2 linked regions of the Danio rerio genome follow. The protein of the gene in region 2 interacts with the protein of the main gene of each other region in a pairwise test. Links are inferred from orthologs where the notes say so. Each region holds a gene or a part of one and is shown on either strand. Other genes may lie near its edges.

Evidence for each region. The genes of interacting proteins can lie anywhere in the genome.
Region 1: the proteins of ccnh (region 2) and znrd2 interact in binary tests that used the Homo sapiens proteins (3 or more experiments, as listed by UniProt). The two-hybrid records come from large-scale screens. The link is inferred for Danio rerio from reciprocal best matches to the Homo sapiens genes CCNH and ZNRD2.

The regions. Positions count from the first base shown.
Region 1 is NC_133185.1:31,775,179-31,779,398, reverse strand, and holds the start of znrd2 (protein ZNRD2), read right to left. Parts: upstream 2,801-4,220; 5' UTR 2,732-2,800; coding exon 2,716-2,731; intron 1,068-2,715; coding exon 916-1,067; intron 1-915. UniProt on the Homo sapiens protein: Might play a role in mitosis. Antigenic molecule. Could be a centromere-associated protein. May induce anti-centromere antibodies.
Region 2 is NC_133180.1:52,024,819-52,028,318, reverse strand, and holds part of ccnh (cyclin-H), read left to right. Parts: intron 1-1,761; coding exon 1,762-1,832; intron 1,833-3,382; coding exon 3,383-3,485; intron 3,486-3,500. UniProt on the Homo sapiens protein: Regulates CDK7, the catalytic subunit of the CDK-activating kinase (CAK) enzymatic complex. CAK activates the cyclin-associated kinases CDK1, CDK2, CDK4 and CDK6 by threonine phosphorylation.

The DNA.
Region 1 (4,220 bases), on a different chromosome or scaffold from region 2:
GACTGCATTAAACCATCTTTAAGAAATCAAAGTTTTATCCTAGATTCTGTCCTCTTATTTGACACACAGGTAGATGCAGTAGTTAAATCTTGGTTTTTTTCAGCTGAGATTATCAGCCAAAGTGAAAGGCTTTTTAAAAGGCTTCTTACTGGTACACGCAGGTTTGAACACATTACTCCTATCCCGTGTTTCCTAAATTGTGACCTAGAATTGAGTTTAAAATTTTAATGTCTGTTTTTAAGGTATTAAAAGGCCAGGCTCTGACTTATCTCTCTAATCTTATTAGTTCAAATATCTGCCATATGTTTAAGGTCATCGAACCAGAAAATGCTAGTAGTTCCCAGATCCAAATTGAATAAAAAAAGAAGATTGAGCTTTCTCTGTAGTAAGTCCTAAAGTGTGGAACAGGCTACCTTCGTCCATTAGAAAAGTTTCTATTGAATCTTTGTTCAGAGGGAAACTTAAACTACACCTCCTTGAAATAGCTTTTAAATTGGGAGAAAATTAATCCTATTGTACCTATCTGGTCGCTTGTTATGTATCTATGATGCTGTGTGGTATGTTGGATGTATTCTATGTTGTTTTACTTGTTGCTGTCTATTTTTGATCATTTGCTTTTAGGTTTGTACAGCACAATGGTCAACAACTTAAAAATTTTTTTTTTATTACGCTTTGTAAATAAATAAACTAAACTAATTAAAAACATTATTAAACTTTCAGACATTCTGAACTGAAAATATTGCACGTCATCTTTTGTCATTATCGCAAGTTTTAATATTCAAACATGGCTACAACTTAACAACACAGTACCTCACTGCATATTTAATAATTAAATTAAGGCTCTAGCTTGTATTGCACTAAATAAAACACAGATTTGATTGGAGTCTCCTATGAGTGTATGGTGTTTTCTCTCACCCCGCACAGCTCACAGCACTCGCCCAGCATCTTGTACCCCTTCAGCAGATAGTCTCCCATCAGCTTGCTGATCTTATCCTGCCGCTCCCGGCGAGCCTGAATCACCTTCATCTCTGCTTCAGAGGGAGGCTCCCATTCAAAGTCTTCATCATCTGGATTCAGGAAAACACACACAGAATGCTCTTGTTTATGGACGAATGCTCATTTAATTCACACACCCACTTAAGCACTTTCCAGGTGTTTTAAAACTTTTTCAGTACTTTATAAAGTGTGGAAAATTACATATTTACATACGTCTGCACACCTCATCACATTAATTATATTTAGAAAAAAATCCTTTCTATAAAGATTGGTGGGAGAGAGGTATTTGGTTGAGTGTCCATCTATTAAACAAAGAGGGTGAGGTTCTGAGTTACTGGAAATTTTTGTGAAAAATATAACTTTGAATGTGATCATAAGCAATTCAATAGGGTATTGAAATCTATTCTGAAGGCATTTGTAATAATGGTTAGTACTGTGGCCCCCAATAAAAATGACGTACCTTATTTGCTGATGAATGGAGAAGATTTTATTCAGAGTGTATTCAGATAATAAGCTCTATTATCGAATTAGGGAATATGTTCCTTTCCTTCCCCATACCTCCTCAAAGCTAAAGAAGTACACTTTAAAATATTCAATGATATTTAACCATCTGCAGAGACTGTATATTTATTTTTGACTGTTTATACAGCAGAACCTTCTAGACAAATTCATTTGAGTGGTTAAAAGTTTCTCTCAAGATGTCCTCCCAATTTTCTAAAAATGATATTATCTTTGGTTTATTAGGGGAAGATATTAATATTCAAGTTGTATTGAACAATATTCTAATTTTGGAGAAATTTTATGTTCATAAATGCAAGTGCCTGAAAACAAAACCACTGTTTTGGGTTTTCCAAAAGGAATTTTGGTTATACTGTAAAGCTTTAAAGTTGGTAAAATCAAAATTAGGAAGTTCAGTTTATTGAAAACATTTTAATTAATAGACGACCAGGTAGTTCTTTTTTGAATGTGTTTGTGTGTCTATTCTGTTTAAAGTTGTATTTATTTATATTATAATCTTATTGATTTGATTATTATTTGTGCTCTGTTCTGTAGTTGTTAATTAAATTTGTGCTATATGCAAAAAAAAAAAAAAAACACTTCATCACATTATATCAGAAGCTATTCTAGAGTATAGTACAGTAAATTATAGTATAATTAATATACTATGTGAAAAATTTCGTTTTTAATTTTATTTTTTTAGCTTTAATAAAAGGAAAATATGTGATAGCAGGTTTGATCCAACCCCAACATTTAGTTATGCTGTCATCCATTTACATATCTTTATTATAATTAATTTATTCATACTATTATTACCAGCTTAGTAAGATAAATTATTATGAAAGGAACAATCGCATTTTAAAGTACTTTATCCATAATCTAAGTACATTTTAAACCTTGAAACACAAGAGTAAAATTCCAGCATTTAAAGTATTTTCAGCACCCGTGCGATTCCTGTACGTGGAACTTTACGAGTCAATAATAGGCAAAGACACAGAGAAAGCTCGATATTTTAAATGAAATAAAAGCCACATGCCAGTACAGAAATGCAGACAGTGAGGGGCTAACCTGCTAACGTAACATGATGTTATTTTAGCGCAGCTGCACGTGTACTAACGTTACTATAGCACGACTGGAGGTTAGTGATTAAGGGTTATTTCGGTACTAAATTGGGGAGTTTAACAAGAGATTTGTCTAAATGTGAGTTTATTGACATTTTACCTGCGTTAAGGGCCATGCTTTCTTCATCAGCCGCCTCACAACACAGATAACGTTTCCTGCTCGAAACTTCAGCGGTGAAATGTGGAAGGTGCTATGAAAACTGACTGGCGCCATCTAGCGAGCTGAATGTAGGTCCTATTGCTCAGTTTTTTCCCCTTCATTCTGAAAATCTCAGGATTATTTGTTTCGTTCGGAAAAAAAAATCTGGATTTAGACACATAAAAAAATACATAGTTTATGCTGGAAAATAAAGAATGTTCTTCACTATCTCTTGGTTTCCAGTCAACTAAATATTCTAACTACCTGCTTGATTTGTTTAACTGATAATATGCAGTTACGCCTCTCTCTAGCCCTAGACATCTGGGGTCTTAACAATGCAGAAAATAACATTTTATAATGAAAGTGGATTTTGAAAAAAATTCAAAAGGCTCCTAAACAATAAAATCACTCCTTCTGCACAACTCTATAATTTATTTTTAAACATTACCATCACTGCATCAGGTTAATATTAGCCTAATTAATACATAGTTAATGTGAATAAAGAAAATCACTTTGATTTCATAGTTTACTTTGACCAATAGGTGATGCTGTTACCAAACTAGTGTAGTGTGGCGTTGTCAGTCTTGCAAAGATACAGCCTCAGGTGTTGGTGTTGCCAGCATGGTTTGGAAATGTGTAGTTCACACAGTCTTATGGTGAGAAAAAGTAAAGTTTGGGATTTTCATCAGGGCTCAAACTGTGCAAATCATCACTGGTTATGGTTAACACACAACAGTTGTGGACAAATAGCATTAGCTTTGTCAGCTATATTACCGTATGTGAAAAACGGTATGTGTGCTATAGTATTACACCCAAACCAGTTGACAGATGAGAATACTAAGAAGTTCGCACATGATGGACACTTCACTACCTTATGAGCCCACAGAAGAGGGTTTATTAATGGAAAAATACAAAATGACTGAAAACATATGACGAATGATAACTTTTCTTAATTCGTTGCAAAAATCTAATTGTCCTCACTATTTAGTATTTACTTATCCTCAAGTGGTTATAAACCTTTCTGAGTTTCTTGACAACAAAATAAGTAATTTTGAAGAAAACTAAAAACCCGTAGCCATTGACTTCCACAGCAAGCAAATTCCATAGTGTCTTACTACACAAATCATTGCAATTTCTCATATTAAACAGGTTTAAACAAGTGAAGGGAGAGTAAATGATGACAGACTTCTCATTTTTAGGTGAACTATGCTTTGAAGCCAAGAAATTAGAGGAGACAATAATTACATTTTTATTAGTTCTTACAGTTTCAAAGGTATTAGCACAAACGTTCATGCAAATTTGAACAGCACTAGAGGGATTAAGGTTGGAGACTTCAAAACTGATAATGTTCCTTCATTCACTTTCCTTCGGCTTAATCCCTGTATTTATCAGGGGTCGCCACAGCGGAATGAACTGTCAACTATTCCAGTGTGTTTTACGCAGCAGATGCCCTTCCAGCCACAACC
Region 2 (3,500 bases):
CAACATTATTAGACCCCTTAGTTTTGATTGGCTAAAGAACAAACCTGTGTTGTACGATGACTTTCATCAAGGTGTCTGCAGCGTCTTATAAAGTATTAAAAATTGATAAACCATTTAAGAGAAATTTAAGGTCCTAAAAAAGTATTAAAACATTTTAAAAGCTATTTTACATTGTCTTAAAATTTAGATTATACAATGTAGTTGTATGATAATTTTGCCTTTAATCTGCCAACTCTGGGGTGCTGTGTGGTTTATGAAATCGATAAAATCCTGCTAGATTTAACATCACATTGATTTGTTTACTGTAGTAACTAAGGCAACGCCGTTATTCCTGCTGTTCTATTGTAAAGTTGCTTTAAGGCAAGTCACTTTAAAAAGCCTCTCGGGCAGTATGCTCAGGCATTTTTTTTGAAAATTCTCCAAAATTGCTTGTCATGCTTACGATTAAATTTCGTATTAAGAATCACCAATAAAATTGAACAATTAAACAACAACAACTACAGAAAATCTACAGAAACTCTCTTCTGGTCCAAGCCATCATGCAATCATCAGTCTTCATCATCAGATTGATCAGTCTAATAGCGATCTGATTGACTCCTGTACTAGAAAGTGGGGCTTTATTCATTATATTGACGTTACACTTTTTTCCCCATTCAAAACTGTACGATTGTGTTTTTTAATAGTTTTTGTCTATAGGGGCCACCCGCTGGATTAGCATTTATATTCATTATACTGTATAAATAATCTTTCTTAAAATCAGAATTGAGTAAATATACTTTAAGTTAAAATGTTGCCAATGTTCCTGGTTGAAACCTAAAGTGGTGATAAGGACTTAAGATATATGGAAAGTGTCTTAAAAAAGGTTCTAAAAGGAATTAAATTTCACTCTCTGATTCCTGTTTATACACTGTTCATAATTACCCTAACTATTCAAATTAAGTCTTTAAATCACACTTTAAGCTCCATATTTATATCTTGTAAAATATCATGTACTGTCATCACAGCAAGGACGCAATCAGTGTTTAAAAATGTGTTGAAAATATTCCCTCCATTAAACAGCACTTTATTCATTGAATTTCTTTTCAGCTTAGTCTCTTAATTAATCTGGGGTCGCCACAGCGGAATAAACGGCCAACTTATCCAGCATGTTTTACGCAGTGGATGCCCTTCCAGTTGCAACCCATTACTGGGAAACACCCAAACACTCTAATTGTATCGCATATCTTTGAACTTGTGGGGGAAACTGCAGCACCTGCAGGAAACCCATGCAAACGCAGAGAGAACATGCAAACTACATACAGGAACGCCAGATGACCCAGCCGAGGCTCGAACCAGTGACCTTCTTGCTGTGAGGCAACAGCACTGCCTACTGTGCCACCGCATCGCTACAGCACTATTTTTATATTATTATAAAAATATTTGAAAATAAAATTTCAGGGGAGGGCTAATCATTTTGCTTTCAACTGTATGACCATGTTTTTACAAGGTGTGTTTTAGTTCATACAAGTATGATAATTATTAAAAGGTGAAAAACCACCATCATCCCTTTTCTTGTCAGTCAAAAATGACATAGGGTTGAATTAGGGTTGTACTGTTTTTAATGTAAATGAACAGTTTTATTAAAAAACACAGAAGTGTTTGACTAATTACTGTAATTATATAATGTAATGAATACTGGAATTTGTATTGTGTAAAAAAAAAAAAAAAAAAGCTACATTGAACATTTTCTTAATATAGCATCGTTTTCTTTGACATTTACAGATATTTAAATGAATGTATGGGGCTTAAGGAGGATAAAGAGACCCTCTCAAAGATGTATGAGTCAATGAGACGTAAGTAACTTTCTCTTTCTTAAGGTTAATAACACTAAACATGGCTACAAAACCTTCACCCCCTCAGATTTTCAGTGGTTAAACATGATAATAAGGTTCAGGGTAATATGTATAATAAGCAGTGGTGTAAAGTAACAAATTACAAATACTCAAAATAACTGTAATTGAGTAGTCTTTCTCAGGAATTGTAATTTACTAAGTAGTTTTAAATTGTTTTGTTTTACGTTCCCTATAGTATAGTTTTATTCAGTATCGGTACTTTATTCCTCTACTTTCCTTCAATCTGCAGTCACTACTTTATTGTTTCTTGTCTATGGGGATTAGAAAAATCAGTCCTGTGATTCCATGTGCGATTTGATTGGACAGAGGGGTAAATTGCATCTTAATGAACTACCTCAAGACATGTGCTATTTATAATTGCAGCAAACTGTTTGGAAGTATTAAGTGTCCAAGAAGATGTCCAAAATCTTTACACGCAATGACCCAGAGACTGTTTAGATGCATGTCACTAATAGGAAGATGACATGCTTACTGTATGATGACCAAAATGGCCTTAAAACACACAGCAAGCACAAGGCATTAACATGGTGTTAGACTGACATTGTACCTCAACGTCGTGGCGTGAGGACATTGCGTTTAACTTAACATCAGGCCGATGTCTGTGTACAACCTAAATCAACCAAATAACAACATCATTTGACATTTGTTAAGGCTGATTTAAAATAATGATGTGCTTAGACACTGGTTAATCATTGAATTTTTGTCACCTAACATCACAACCTAAATCTAACCTGATTTCTTGTAGCGTTATGTGGCTGCTGGGCAATAACTAAATGCACTACAGAATGCCAAGTTTACACAAATTGCATGTAAATGCATCAGCCGTTTACAGGGTAATACTCACTACTCGAGTACTTTTGATATGTCTACTTTTAACTCATACTTTGAGTAATATTTTCAACAGATACTTTAACTCGCACTACATTTGTAAGCAAGTAATGGCATCTTTACTTAAGTATGATTTTTTTTTTTTAGTAGAGAAATATTAATGATGGTTTAATATGTTGTGTGTTTTTTATTACACTGCACAAACCAGAATTATGACTGAACCATAAAAAATATTTAGTATAATAAAACAGAGCTACTTGCATAAAACAATCCTATTTATAATTGCATTTGAAAATTGTCCTGGATATCCTTCCATAAAACTACTTGTTGCCAAAATGGTGGTAATTTGCACCTGCTAGGACAATTATTGTCATCAAGTAAGTTAATTTACTATTGTTGCATTTATAATATAAGTCAGTGTTTCTCAACCACGTTCCTGGAAACCACTAACACTGCATGTTTTGGATGTCTCTATTGTTACCATCATTACAGGTTTTTCAGCCTCTGCTATTTGAGCTGATGATCTGAATCAGGTTTGTTTGGTTAAGGAGACATATGAAGAATGTGCAGAGTTGGTGGTCCTCCGGGAACATGGTTGAAACACTGATATAAGTGACACTGTTGTATCACATGGATAATTCTTAATATGTTTTTCACTGTAGGAATGACAAGTCTTGTTAAAGCGTACGAGCTTCCCAAAGCTGAGGAAGTCAGTATCTGCAAACAGAAACTGGAAAGGATTTATGCTGAGTTTGCTACAAACCTGTGAGTATTTGTGGA